Linked DNA regions of Sus scrofa. Each later gene encodes a partner of the first gene's protein in a complex. Links are inferred from orthologs where the notes say so. Each region holds a gene or a part of one and is shown in the gene's direction. Other genes may lie near its edges. The genes, in order: SCTR and SCT.

What was found.
Region 2: the proteins of SCTR (region 1) and SCT are in contact, whole or in part, in a cryo-EM structure (PDB 6WZG), measured with the Homo sapiens proteins. The link is inferred for Sus scrofa from reciprocal best matches to the Homo sapiens genes SCTR and SCT. Residues at the interface, in NP_002971.2 of Homo sapiens: Arg30, Leu31, Cys32, Leu35, Asp71, Asn72, Pro117, Val125, Val127, Asn128, Asp129, Asn132, Arg135, His136, Leu139, Leu140, Leu142, Lys143, Tyr146, Tyr150, Arg188, Asn192, Lys195, Leu199, Phe200, Ser202, Asp203, Val205, Met219, Phe222; in NP_068739.1 of Homo sapiens: His28, Ser29, Asp30, Gly31, Thr32, Phe33, Thr34, Ser35, Glu36, Leu37, Ser38, Arg39, Leu40, Arg41, Glu42, Arg45, Leu46, Gln47, Arg48, Leu49, Leu50, Leu53, Val54.

Annotation. Positions count from the first base shown.
Region 1 is NC_010457.5:31,705,611-31,713,055, forward strand, and holds the start of SCTR (secretin receptor precursor), read left to right. Parts: upstream 1-2,406; coding exon 2,407-2,457; intron 2,458-7,445.
Region 2 is NC_010444.4:380,887-388,244, reverse strand, and holds SCT (secretin), read left to right. Parts: upstream 1-3,162; 5' UTR 3,163-3,602; coding exon 3,603-3,688; intron 3,689-3,769; coding exon 3,770-3,871; intron 3,872-3,951; coding exon 3,952-4,044; intron 4,045-4,216; coding exon 4,217-4,340; 3' UTR 4,341-5,462; downstream 5,463-7,358. Other genes in the region: CDHR5 (cadherin-related family member 5), read left to right, coding at 5,648-5,702, 5,785-5,960, 6,285-6,335, 7,282-7,358. UniProt on the Homo sapiens protein: Hormone involved in different processes, such as regulation of the pH of the duodenal content, food intake and water homeostasis.

The DNA of each region.
Region 1 (7,445 bases):
GACCCAGTTAATAATATTTTTTCCAGTCTCAATCTTGAACCAACAGGGAAACAAGATTAACACAGATGGGACCCTGTATCACTTTTATTAGTGATAATGCTGGTCTTGGAGAATGTGGTGTATACTTGTGGGCAAGCGGGTTTATTAGTGCTGTTTGTCTTAGAGAATGTGGTTTACACTTGTGGGCCAGAATTAGATAAATCACCTCCTGCCACTGGCTATGCTGGATCAAGGCAGTCAGAACCTTGACCTCCAATGGCAGCCTGGCCCAGGGCCATCTAGGTACAGGCTCTCTGCTGGTGGGAGTGCTGTGAAAGGCAAGAAGTGTGTGTGTGTATGTGTGTGTGTGTGTGTGTGTGTAACCTCATGCCAGTCCTCACCCCAAAGCATCAATCATGTAGAGTTTGCCTCACCTTCACATGTGGGGGAGGGGGGTTAATGAGGGGTAGAGAGAGGAAGATTACATGACCTCCTTCCTGCTTTCTGCTGCTCGAATAGTGCTTCTAACAAACTTGTGCATATTTCATTGGGCCTTTGGGTAAGTACTTCTACAGCAAAAGTTCCTAAAAGTGACTTAGTGGTTATGCACATATTAGGTTGACATGGACTGAATGTTGACTGCGGACCTGGGAGAACTAAAGCCATTTATCCTCCTTCTATTTTTTTAGGACCATACCGGAGGCATATGGAAGTTCCCAGGCTAGGGGTCGAATTGGAGCTACAGCTGCCAGCCTACACCACAGCCACAGCAACACCAGATCTGAGCCATGTCTGCGACCAACGGATCCCCGACCCACTGATCAAACCCGCATCCTCACGGATACTAGTTGGATTCATTTCTGCTGCACCACAATGGGAACTTCCTCCCCCCATCTATTTCTGCTATGGTTTATCAACCTCACCTCACTTGAGCAATAGCATCTTCAGTAGGGAAGGCTGCTAAAGGCTCCAGTAAGTTACTTTTTTTAGAGCCACACCCAAGGCATACGGAGTTTCCCAGGCTAGGGGTCAAATCGGAGCTACAGCTGCTGGCCTATGCCCCAGCCACAGCAACATGGGATCTGAGCCACCTCTGGGACCTACACTACAGCTCACAGCAACGCCAGATCATTAATCCACTGAGAAAGGCCAGGGATTGAACCTGCAACCTAATTGTTCCTAGACAGATTCGTTTCTGGTGGGCAAGGACGGGAACTCTGAGTAAATTACTTTAATAGCTGCTAAGTAGTCTGACCAGAGGCTAGCCACTCAGAGTTAGGGTCAGCCAGAGGTGTGTAGATCCAGGCTTTTCCCCTCTGACCTTCTGAGTCACATGTACCTGGTGACATCACTGGTCTTCCTCCACCCTCAATGCCCTCCTGTCTAACAGGCATAAAACCACCCAGGGGTTTGGAGAGAATTCAAAGGCTGATGTTCTTAAAGTGCCTGGGAGAAAGATGAAGGAGAGACGGAAAGATGAAGGAGGATATGGAAGAGGCATCAGGGCTGAGAAAGGAAAAAAACGGGTCTAACACCGAGGGGCCAAAAGCCAACCTCCAGGACTTCTGAGCACTCAGACTCAGGATGAACAATACTGAGCTATCTCCCTGTTGCTTAAATGACCTCCCGGAACCACAAAGCTTCCGGGGGTTCATCTTTAGCCCAGCTCCCAACGCCTGGGGCCAGTTGGTGGTTCTTGGTCTCATTTGATCATCAAAGCCTTCTCAGTGTGATGGAGCTCACGGGTGTAAATAAAACTTTCTGGAATGAGCATGTGTAGCTAATGGGAAAGAAATATGAAGTGAAAATTCGAAATGGAATAGCTGATGGGCAGAATGGATGCTACAGGGCTTTCCTGAGCACTCCTCTACATCACAGGACACTAACACAACCTCCCTACGTCCCGAAGGCGGGTATCATCAGATGTGTTGTTCCAGAGAACACTGAGGCTCAAAAAGGTGGCCTTCGTCGCGCGTCGCATGCAGCAAAGCGGTGGCGGGACTGACCCAGCCCTTAGGAGCGAGCTCTTTCAGTCCGAGGGGGTGTGGCAGCTGCAAGGCCGAGCCCGCGTGCTCGCTCCCGGTCTCCTCCCCCCACTGCCAAGCCTGCGGGAACCAGCTCCCCGCCTGAGCCCTCCCGCCCTGCTCCCCCGCCGGCCTCCGCGCCGGCCCCCAGCCAGTCCCAACTAGGTGGAGGAGCGCCGGCTGCGTCGCGCGTACTTATCAACCCGGCCCGGCGGCATAGCGCGTGCGGCCGCCTCGTGGGAGGAAGCGCGGTCCGGGGGTGGGGTGGAGTGCCCCAGTCATGGCTTTTCAGGGCGCAGCGCCCGGCCCGGGTCCGAGCGCCTGCGGGGGACGCTAAGCCCCAGAACTGGCTATGCGAGCGGGCTGGCGGCCGTCCGGGCGCCGAGGGAGCGCACGGGGCACCATGCGCCTCCGCCTGTCGCCGCTGCTGCTGCTCACCTGCGCTGCGCACACGGTGAGTACGCACGTCGCCGCCGGCCCCATGCGGGATGGGGGGTGAACGGAGACCCCCAGGATCCTCTGCTGAGGAGCGGGAACCCTTCCTCTGCATCCGTCCCCACCAACAACGATCCCCTCCTCTCCAGAGGCCGCTTCCTCCAAAATAAAAACAGCGTGTGCCCAGGAGAAGGTGGTCCTAAGATAAACCCCCTTGCCCTCCACCCACCCCTTCCTCCAAGCTGCGCCCCCGACCCCCTCCTAGAGAGCAATTCTGGAGCTGCCCCTGGCCATGCCTTTTGTGTGCTGGGCACTTTGCCTGCATTATCTCATTGAAACCTTATCATCGCCTTTCAAGGTTGATATTATCACCCTCACTTTACTGACAAGGAAACGGACACTTGGAAAGACCAAATATCTTGGCCCAAGAAAAGACAATTGGAACCCAATCCGTCTGCCCCCAAAGCCTTGACATTTTCACACACGCTGCCCAGCTGAGGATGGGAAAACGTCCGAAAGCTCTGACTGCAGCTGCCGGGTCTGTGATGGGACTGCTTGGCGCTCCCTGCCTCCTTTCTCCTGTGGGTTTGGCTCCCCAATGTCTGTATGTCTGGGGACTCCTGGGAGCGGCTGGTCTCCGCAAACCAGATCCTAGGAGGAGCTGGAAGAGAAAAGAGAAGGCAGCAGAGTGGGTGGCTTGTTTTTTCTCTCCCTCAGAAACTCTGGGGAATCCTGGTCCTCTCCCTGGGGGATTCCTGACTGAGAGAGGCAGACAGGCCTGATGGAAGCAATGCGGAGGGGTTCTTGGGGTGGGCTGTGGGCGTGCAGATTCCAGAACAACTCATTTCCACCCACCTTCCAAACTAGGCTTCCAAGAAACTCCCCAGGGAAAACGCTTGGTAACCCAATTCTGAGTCTTATCTCTGTCCTGGGCAAGTCCTCCCTGGTGTCCAATGACCTTATCTTTCCTGTCCTCCTTGATTATAAGAAAAATCTGCTTGGAGTTCCCGCTGTGGCACAACAGGATCGGCACCCTCTTGGGATCGCTGGGATGCATCGGATCCCTGCCTGGACGCAGTGGGTTAAGGATCCGGAGTTGCCGTAGCTGCAACTTAGTTCTCCACTGCCCCTCCACTGCCCCTCGGATCTGATCCCTGGCCAGGTGGGGCAGCCAAAAATAAATAAATAAATAAATAAAAATTTTTAAAAGGAAGAAAAAGAAAAACCTGCTTCCTGAGCTGATGGGAGCATTGACCCTCAGGAGGGGCCCAAGACCTTCCAGAGTGGGGGTTGAGGCTCTTGTTCCCAGCTCTCTTGTAACCTTGGAGCCTCTTATCCTTGGTGCTGGCGTTGGAAAGTGCTAGGGCAACAGCACCCACTCATTCCTCTGAGCTCTCAATTTGGGGAAGTGCCACCTGAGACACTGAGTGAGTTCAAAACCAAATGCAGCCAGGAGGTGTGCTGTTATTCAGTGCCCAATGGGAGGCAGCAGCTCCTCTTCGTGACACCCCACGCCCACGCCCAGCCTCCTTTTAAAGTATTTCCAGTAACTTCTGCTGTCAGAAGAAATCAACAGGTGGCTGGGCTTCAGGACTGAGGTTCAACCTACATTTTAATCTCAAGAGGACCTCTGTGTTATCCGGAATAAACAGAGGGGGAAAAGAGAGGCTTCACTGGGTTCAAGGCTTCCATGTGCCTTCATCACACCCTGGTCCAATTTCCTCTTTTTACAGGGGAGCAAACTGAAACCCACAGAAAGTGGGGGCCTGCTTCACATCAGCAGGTTTGTGGTAGCGCTGGGACTGGACTCCAGATCTCGCGACGCCTAGCCCCCTAGGGCTCCATCCATGACGTCCATGATGTCCCTTGTCATTACACATCATTTTCATCCACTCCTATACTGCTTTGTGCTACATGGTTCCCTGTGGGTACATCTTGGTTCTCTGGTTATTTTATGGGCTTATCCAGACCTGAGGGTCACACTTGGTAGAGAACTCCTTCAATAAATAGGAATGGAACTGACCTACTTCAGCTGGAGTATCTCCCAGCCTATAAAACCCTACTTTTATTCTGTTTGACTCTGAGTGGTCAGACATTTGATTTTGAAATTTAAGGGTATTCAAGTAATTCTTTATTCATTTGGGGCTTGCTCTTGAGGGAAATCATAGGCATCTTCCTAATGAGGGGAGGTTGATAAGTCCAAATCGCTTATTACTACTCCCCCCACCCCCACTACCACTGTCACCTTCCCATATAGGGCACGTCAGGAAGCTCCCTTACACGTGGACTAAAAGGTGATGGTGCTTGAGGGGGAAGTTTTCTGAGCCCTCCATTGGAAGCCCTGGCCACACCTCCCTTTACTGTGCCCCCTCCGTGTATCTCATGAGGACTTTTACCTGCAACAGTATTGTAATTATTTACCAGCACATCTGTCCTCTCCAGTACATTCACTTTGATCTTGAGCTCTGAGACTTTGCCTTGTTCATCTTTATCCCTAGAGCCTGTCAGTGCGAGAGGGACCTTGATGAGTGCATGTGGGTTGAATGGATGAATGAAATGATGATGCTACCCATAGTGGACGGTCTTAAGCTGGGGCAGTTTCCTATAGCAACAAGTAATGAAGAATGACACCCTGAAAGCAATCATTGCTTACCACATTGTACAAAAATGTGTCAAGCAAAGGAGAAGGAGTCGCTCAAGGTAGGGCTCTTTAAGCCAAAGCACCTGGCAAACTGCCAACCCGATAACCTTAGTGGGTTAAGTGGGGCACAGGGCTGCTTTTTCCTTCAAGCAGGATTTCTTAGCTTTGACACTAATTCTGAATCTTAATCCCAGGCTTTCCACAAGGGGTGACAGGAAGAGAGCCAGGCCCTCCCTTGACATGAGAGAGAATGATAGGATGGGGACGGTGGGGACAGGGCAGAGAGAGGGGTAGGCAGATAATTATTGCTGGGGGGCTGTCCTGTGCATTGAATGCTACCCACAGAATCCCTGGATTCTACCTACCAGAAGCCATTAGTATCTCTTCAAGCTGTGCCAACAGGAAGTGTCTCCAGACATTGCCAAATGCCCTCTGGGAGCAGGGAGGGCAAAACTGCCCCAGTTGAGAACCATTGCCTTAAAGGTTGTTATGTTTCAGGGTAAATGCATGAACAGGATTCATACCAGGTGTTCACTGGATGTTGGATTCAGGGTAGGGGGTGTTGGTGGCAGGGTGTCTGAGTCAGAGGACAGAAACAGGTGCACCCGATGAAAACCCATATCCAGACAAGGTGACTTCCCCAGGGCCTGGGTTCATTGGTCTTTGCCCCCGCTCCCTTTTCACTCTCCCCTCTCCATCCCACTCCTTTTCTGTTGATGGCTCAGAAACACACAAACTCCAAGGATGGGGTCCGACACATAGAATCTTCCAGCCCGTGGTGGTCCCTGCTCCTCTCAGGGTGCCTCTGGGTCCAGAGGCTGACAAGCTCTGTGGCAGCTTGGTGAGCAGAGTTCTCAGAAGCCTGCAAAGATCACCTGAGGGGGGCTGGCCACTGATACGCCTTAGGGGAAAGTTGCTGGTATTTTTGTATCCCTCAACAGTCACTTTCAATTTTCTGAGGAAGTATTTGTGGATTTCTGTTTACGTTTTTTACTCTCCCTAAAATTAATGTGACTGATGATGAAGATGAAGATGATGATGATGATGATGGGAAAGGCTTCTCTTACTGAACACTTATTTCACACCAGATCCTCAGCTGAGTCCTTCCCAGCACTGCCTGATTTCTGTCTCACATCAGCAGTCACCTTTATTGTGCAGATGAAGAAACTAAGGCTCAGAGAGGTGAAGCCGTTTGTCAAGGTTACCCAGCTAGCTAGACACAGTGGCGGGAGATCTCAAACCCAGGTGTTCCTACCCAGTACATGCACCTGCTCCCAGAGGCAGAGGCCTGCTCTGGCTTCTGGTGCCCAAGGGGCTGTCATAAAATTCTCTCCCAAACCGCAAAATGACAGTAATTTCAGTTTAATCTAATCACTTTATAAAACAAATATTGAAATTATACAGAGCGTTTTATGGAGAGGGCCAGAGATGAGCTTGGGGTCATGGAATCAAACAAACAGGAGGTCCTCTTCCCATACTGTTTAGGGGAGCCCTTGTGGCTTTGGCACCTCCTTCAGGAGTTTCCTTAAAGCTCCCCTCCTTCGGCCCCATTCCCAGGATCCCTACCTGCCATCCCCGCCCCTCCCCATACCAAGGAGAGCACAACTCTCTTGTTGAAAGCTCAGACCTAAAAACCAGGTTTAGAGCAGCTCCTGATTTGGCCCCCACATCCCTGCCCTTAGTGAGCCAAGGCTGCTCACTACTGACCTTCATTTGGGCTGTGGAACAACCTGTGGCCCACAACACACAGATCCTATCTACTTGCTTACATTACAAACAGAGGCCTGCCCAGCAGTTGGGAGGGCATAAGAAAATAGGGATATCCTGGGACCCACCCAGCTTCACAATTCTGTGTCTGACAGAATCCTCCGGGCATGTGGGGAATCAACACCCCTGACAGGTCAGGTCCTGCTGCCGTGGCCCATCATGCTGCCAGGGTCCCTGAGTTTTCCAGTCTTCTCCAGAATCCCCAGCTGCCTGACATCAGTTCCCTCCACCTTAGCTCTCAGAGGCTCCCCCTGATGTCCTCTAAATTTCTGACCTTAGTACCTCCTCTTTCATGTGCAACAGACCAGTTGACCTCCTATTTCCTGCGAGTCAAGGAATGAACTTCTGAGCAACATCTTCTCTTACAGATGTGTCTATATATTGTACCCCCCTATTTCCTTCCTCCTTCCTTCCCTTCCTTCCCCTGGACTGCTGTAACATGATACCATAGACCAGGGGCCTTAAACAGCAGACACTTATTTTCTTTCTATCTTTGATTTTTAAATTTAGGGCCACACCCACACCATATGGAGGTTCCTAGGCTAGGAATCAATTGGAGCTGCAGCTGCCAGCTACATACATCACAACCCCAGCAACAC
Region 2 (7,358 bases), on another chromosome or scaffold:
TTTTTTTTTTTAAGAAATGGAAACGCCAACCCTGAATTCACATGGCATTATTGCAAAGAAACCCAAGTAACTAAAACAATCCCGAAAAAGAAAGGCAAAGTTGGCCCAACCGCTGATTTCAAAACTTCTACAAAGCTGCGAAGGTTCCTAGATGAGCCTGTGCATCTGCAATCAGCTGATTCCAACAAGGTGCCCTGACTGTTTGGTGGGGAGAGAGGAGTTTCTTCAGTAGGAGGTGTTGGGACACGCGGACATCCCCGTGCAAAGCCATGGAGGTGAGCCCTAGCCCACCCCCACACAAACACACCCACACAAAAGTGAACTCGAGAGGAATCCGAGACTTTAATAAGGATTCAAAACTACGAAACCCTCAGAAGAACATATAGGGGCCGATCTCTATGACCTCGGATTTGGCGATGGCTTCTCCTCCTTTTTTCTTGGCTGACGCCTTGGCATATGGAAGAGTTTCCAGGCAGGGGACGGAACTCTCGCCACAGCAGCCTCCTCCGCTGCTGTAGTGACGACATCAGATCCTTTAGCCATGGCGCCACCAGGGAACGCCTACTTTTGTGTGTTTTTAATTCTCTACAATAATAAAACCTAGGTTTCTCTTTCTAGTCATTAAGAGATAGTGTCCACTCAGGCCACCGTAAGGCCACACCATATTACTGTGGATTCCAGGCCCACATCCCCAAAGCCGGGCCTGGAACCACAGTAACAGAGTGGGTTCAGCTGAACATAATGTAAGTCCCCGGGAGTCCGCAGCCCCGAGGGAAGCGGGCAACAGGAGAGGGGTTGTGATCTGGAAGAAGCAGGTGTTTCCAGCACCCTCCTTCAACACTTGCCACGGAGAACCAAGAGCAGACACAAATAACTGAGGTTTGACATTTTGGGGTTTTTTTGTCTTTTTGCCTTTTCTAGGGTTGCTCCCGCGGCATCTGGAGGTTCCCAGGCTAGGGGTCTAATCGGAGCCAGAGCCACCAGCCTACGCCAGAGCCACAGCAATGCCAGATCCGAGCCACACCTGCGACCTACACCACAGCTCAGGGCAACGCTGGATCCTTAACCCGCTGAGCAAGGCCAGGGATCGAACCTGCAACCTCGTGGTTCCTAGTCGGATTCGTTAACCACTGCGCCACGACGGGAGCTCCCTGAGGTTTGACATTTAAATCTTGGTTAAAACAGCAGTTCTGGAGTTCCCAGAACTTTCCCAGAAAAAGAAAGAAAGAAAGAAAGAAAGAAAGAAAGAAAGAAAGAAAGAAAGAAAGAAAGAAAGAAAGAAAGAAAAGATTAAACAAATGAGTAAAACAAGAAAGGAGTAGAGACAATATTTTTTGCACGTTGCTGTTCAGAGAATCAAACTGTGTTTCGAATGTGCTCCCTCCTACGTTCCACTCAGAAAATAAAGCTGCTCGTTCTTTCGTAGGATCCCGTCCCTGAAACCAGCAATTATCGGGATGGGCCGGCCCACAGAGCGCGGTCTGCGTGGAGGCTTGGACCAGGCACCCACAGGAGCGGATCTGGGTGTGCGATGAGGCCGGAGCAGGGGTTCACGTCCTGGGCCTCTCTGGGGCTCTCCTGCCGTCCAAGGGTCGAACGAGGCTTTTGGTCTTTGGTTTTGGATGCTAGGCTGGGTTCTTAACCTGCTGGGCCACAGCGAGAACGCCTCACTCTTTTTAGCAGGAAGGTTTTTCCTGTGATGTTCTGTCTGGTCGCATAAGTGTCTGAGGTGCTAAGAAATCGACCGGTTACATCAGTACTTGGTGTTGGGAGTGTTCTTGCGACTGGAATTAACGGGTCAGTGTCAACGGTGTTACAGTTTATTACAGGCTTTAATCTGCCTAATTTGTGCAAGAAGAGGCCAAAGAAGCTGTTTAAAAATACGTATACGGGAACTCCCTGGTTGTTCAGCAGCTTAAGGATCCAACGTTGTCACTGCTATGACTCCTGGCCTGGAAACTTCTGCAAGCTGTGGGCTTGGCCAAAAAAAAAAAAAAAAAAAAATACGTGTACGGAAACAACGAGATACCAACATGCCTGCCCTGGTGTGAATGCAGACTTGTTCAGTCCTTTGGAAGATGGTCTGGTGGTTTCCCCCAAGGAAAATCATACTCAAGCCGTGTGAGCCTGCAGTCGCGGTCCCTGCTGCTGACCCAGAGGAGCTGAAAACTTATGCCCACACAAACCCCTGCGCCTGGCTGTTCGGAGCATCTTCTGTCATAATCTCCAAGACATTGAGACCTCCGAGATGTTCCTCAGGTGAGCAGATTAACTGGCGCCTCAGATCGTGAAATATTATTCAGTGCTAAAAATAAAAGAGCTATCGGGCCACGGAAGGACGAGGAGGCACCGTAACACACAACACTAAGCGAAAGAAGCCAATGAGAAGAGGCCACGCACTGTGGGATCCAGCTCTGTGACATTCTGGAGGCAGTAAAACGGTGGAGAGCGTAAAAGGATCAGTGGCTGGGGGAGGGATGAACAGGTGGCCCAGGGGGGTTTTAGGGCCGAGAAACGCTCGGCGCACCGCCCTCTATCCGGGCGGACACGTGTCAGGGCACATTTGTTAAAACCCACAGGATGTGCAATACCAAGATGGACCCTACTGCAGAGCATGGATTTGGTTAATAGCAATGTGTCAGTATTGGTCCATCAGTTGTAACAAATGTCCCAAATGAGTGTCCAGTGCTGAGGAAGCCTTTGGTGTGCCAGCAAGTGTGTGTGTGTGTGTGTGTGTGTGTGTGTGTGTTTGAGAGAGAGGTCCATGTACTTTCAGCTCCATTTTTCTGTAAACCCAAACTGCTCTAAAAAAAGTCTACTAATTGGAATTCCCGTCGTGGCGCAGTGGAAATGAATCCCACTAGGAACCATGAGGTTGCGGGTTCGATCCCTGACCTCGCCCAGTGGGTCAAGAATCTGGCGCTGCCAGGAGCTGGGGTGTAGGTTGCAAATGTGGCTCGGATCTGGGGTTGCTGTGGCTGTGGTGTATGTAGGCCGGCGGCTACAGTTCCGATTCGACCCCTAGTCTGGAAACCTCCACATGCCGCCCTGAAAAAGGCAGCAAAACAAAACAAAACAAAACAAAAACGCGAACAAACGCGGGGGCGGGGGGGGGGGGCGAGGCCCCCTCTTGCGCGGCCCGTGCGCCACCTGCCCGCCGCTCCCCGCTCCTCTTCTCCCGGAGCCCCACGCCCCGCAGTGGGGAAAGGTCACTCGGTCCGCAGCTTCGGCGGCTTTGGCCTTGGTCCCAGCCCTGCCCCCGCGACTGCCCGCCCCGGGCCCTCCGCGCATCCTGGCCGGGGCTCTGCTCGGCCTCCTAAGCGTCCGTGGCGGCTCCGGGAAGCCCGAGGCTTTGCACAGGCTGTTCCCCTGCAGGAAGCGCCAGCCCTCCCCCGCCCGCGGTGTCCCCCTCGCTCCCGGGGCGCCCGACCCCAGCGGGGCGCCACCGCGGCGGTGCGGGCGGGCAGGCAGCCGGGGCGACAGCTGGGGGGGCGGCCCTGACCTTCCCGCGCGATCGATGGGGCGCGGCGCGGTGCCCCGGCGGCTCCGCTATAAAGGGGCCGCGGTCCGGCGCCCGCTTAGCCCCCGCCGGCGCGCCCACCATGGCCACGCGGGCCCTGCTGCTGCTGCTGCTGCTGCCGCCGCTACTGCTGCTCGCGGGCTGCGCCGCGCGCCCCGCGCCCCCCAGGTGAGCCCGCGGACCCCGGCCCGCCCGCCGCTCGGCCTGCACCCCGGCCTGGCCCTGACCCGCCCGCCGCCCCCTCCGCAGGGCCCCGCGACACTCGGACGGGACGTTCACGAGCGAGCTCAGCCGCCTGCGGGACAGCGCGCGGCTGCAGCGGCTGCTGCAGGGCCTGGTGGGGAAGCGCAGGTGAGGGGCGGCGGGGAGCCCCGCGGGAACGGTGGCCCGCTCCCAACTGCGGACTAATTCTGACTTGGGGTGGGGGGCAGCCAGCAGGATCCGGAGAACAACACGGCCTGGACCAAGTCTGGGGAGGACCGCCTCTGCCAGCTGTGGTCCCACATGCCCGCCCTGCAGGCCTGGTGAGCGCCAGCCCCAACGCCCAGCCCTTCCCTCCCTGGGCCAGCAACTGGACACGGCCATGGGCCAGGGGTCTGGGAAGGTGAAACTGTCAGCGCTGGTGACCAGAGGAGGCTCGGTTTCCCCAGGTGCAGAGGTCTCGGGCTGCCGCCCCTAACCTGGCTGTCTCTGCAGGATGCCCATGAAGCCCCCAGTGGATCAGGCCTGGTCTCCCTGGCTGCCTCCTGGACTGAGGGCTGGGGCCCTGGTGTCAGAACCAGCCATCCCTGCTGCGGAGGGGTCCCCGATGCCACCCTGAGGAAGAAGGAGCTTTCCTCCATGGACAAGGGGAGCCTGGCGGAGGGGCAGGGTGGGGGGGAGTAAGGGTTGCTCTTGGCATCAATAAAGGAGAAATTCATCCCGGCCCTGCGAGCCCGCTCCATGCTGTGCGCCATCTGGGTACCACCGAGGAAGCCCCCGCAGGGGAGCGCTGTCAGAGGGAAGGAGGCCTGGACCGTGGCCACGCCCAGCTGCCCTTTCAGCCTGGGGAGCCAGGGGGGAGCGCTTCCTTATCGCCTGCCCCATCCGCGCCCTGGTCGTCTGTGCAGCAAAGGCTCAGATGTCCCCCAGCTCCTGCTCTGGGGCCTTGTGGCCCAGCAGGAAGAGGTGACAGACAGGGGGTGTCACCCAGGAGGCCACACCCCAGTGAAAGGACCTGAGCTGTGTCTTGGCTCCCTTTCGGGTTCTGTGCTCTCGGACGAGTGGCTTGACTCAGAGCCTGTGCAGAAGGGACAGTGTTGACAGCCCAGGAAGTCCTGTAGGACGCCGGGCACAGGCCTGGAACTTTGGGGAAGGTGTTCCAGGCCTGGAGGCAGGAGAGGCTCTGCCTTCACAGCAGCCCCTGCCCTTCCTCCCAGCCCCACCGGGTGGCCTCTCCCAGCGCTGGGCTCAGGGAGCCCAAGGAGAGATGGAGGTGGGGTCGCTGGGGCCTGGGCCAGGGAGCCACACCAAGAACCCCCTCTGCTGGGACCCAGGGTCGCCCAGGAGCTCCCAGCTGCCCCCTGAAGCAGTGCCATCTGTGTCACTGTGACCCTGCCCAGCCCCTGGAGGAAGCCTGCGTGTTTCTGGAACCGCAGGGGCGTCTGGAGGGCACAGCCCTTCCCTTCCAGACCGAGAGGGTTGGCTGGGGGAGGAGAGATGGGCCTGGCGCGGAAACGCTACGGTCTGAATCTCAGGGGACTGGCTTAGGAACAGGGCCCGGCTGTGGGGGAGGGTAGCAAACACAGACCCCCCTCCCCGCGCACCCCCCCCACCGCCTGGAGCCCCCACTGCGCAGGCCCTGGAGCCCCGGCAGCCCTTGGAGCCTGCCTGGCTCGGGGTCTGTGGGTGGAGCCCGGCAGCCCCCACGTGTGGCCCCTCCTGGCGCTAGGCTAGGCCTGGCGGGCGGCCGGCGGGAGTCCCCTTGGTGGAGGCCGGTCCTCCCGGGCCTAAGGGCTCATAAAGTGGGGCGGTGCCTGGCAGGGCCGAAGGTCACCCAGTTGGAGCTTCTGCGCCAGCACCACGGTGCTCAGAGGGTCCTGGACGCCAGGCAGGCTTGGACCCGCCCCTGGGCTGTCTGCTGCCGAGATGGGGACCTGGCCCCTGCTGCTCCTGCTGCTCGTGGCCACAGCCCAGGCCCAGGGTACTGGGGGCGGCAGCGGGGCTGGGGGCGGGGCTGGGCGGCCACGGGGGCTGGAGGGCACTGACCCTCCGTCCACTTCCAGTCTGCTCTGTGAACCAGACCTTCTTCGAGATCGAGGAGAACACGACTCTCAGCGCGCCCCTGCTGGACATCTATGTCCCCGAGGACCAGCAGGTGACCCTCGGACCCTCGTCCACTCTCTTTGCCTTTCGCATCCGGGGGACTCAGCTCTTTCTCAACATAACTCCGGACTACGAGGTACTGGTGGAGGCGGGGCTGGTGGGGCCCCTGAGGGCGGCGGGGCAGCGGACCCCCAAGGGGCCGTGTGGGCACACGCATTCCTCCCAGGGATGGGCCTTCTGGGGACCTATAGGTCTCAGTGTCCCCAGGGGGCCTCTTGGGCCCCAGGCTTGGCTGAGGGCTGCCCTGAGGGAAACCGATTGGGCCCGATGGCCTCTGGACCCAGCCTGGGTGATGGGGGCCCTAAACAAAGGTCGGCCTCAGTCTCCTCACCTGTGAAATGGGGACTGTGTGCCGCGGCCAGCGGACCGGGTGACCCCCAGCACCCACCCGCCCCCACAGGAGAACTCGATGCTGCAGGCACACCTGGAGTGCAAGAGAGGGGACACTGTGGTGAGTCCGCCCCCCCCCGCCCCACCCTCACCCGCGACGTCAGGGCACTCTGTTTGGACCTCTGTGCTCTGCTCCGCCTGGTCCACGGTCACTCCCTGGTGACCTCACCCACTGGTATATTTTCAAGTGTCGCCCTGTGCTGGCGACACCCACACTCTCTTCAGTCCAGACTCTGCCTGAGCCACAGACTCCCAACCCCGGCTCCGGAAGGAGAGGACAGCCCTGACCCGAGATCCAAGCCCCCCACCCCCAGAGGTGCCCGGCCCTGCAGCCCAGCCCTCACTCCCGCCCCCCACCCACACCCCTGCTCCAGCAAATCTGTTGGCTCTGCCTCAAGCTCCACCTTCCCCATATCTGAGGCCTCTCCGCAGAGAGGCTCCTCCCCCGCAGCCTCCTGCACCTGCCATTCAGCAGCTTCCCCTGAGCCCTGTGAGCGCCCGACCCGACAGCACAGCATACCACCCGCCTCTAGATACCTCTAGATGAGCCCCTAGAAATAAAGGATGCTTCTTCTTGGCCATTGGCACAAGAGCGCCAGCCCTCAAAGAGGCCGGGGGTCCCCAGCCTCCCCTCCCACTATCCGCCCCAGCTCCAGCCTCCTGTTGGAATCAAGACCCAGGCAAGGCCCACCTAATGCAACCGGCTGATGTCTGTCTCACGTTTCTTTCAATCTACGGGCTTCCCGATTGTCTCTGAGATTTATGTTTGAAGACATTCCACGGGGTGGCCATTTTCCTCATTCGAGATTTTGCTGGTCACACCCCCAGTCCTGTGTTATTTTTCTCCAGGGCAGCTGCACCTTCTGTGCTTTGTCAGTTGGGTTTTGTTCCTTGTCTGTAATCGCTGGTGGGGCAGGCGCCCCAGGCAGAGAGCTGTCTTGGGAGCTGCAGCCCAGCTCCCAGCGTGAGTCACTCTGCTGGCGCGGGGGCCCTCCTCTCTCCCCCAGGTGACCCAGCTGAGGGTGTTTGTGTCTGTGCTGGATGTCAACGACAACCCGCCCGTGTTTCCCTACAAGACCAAGCA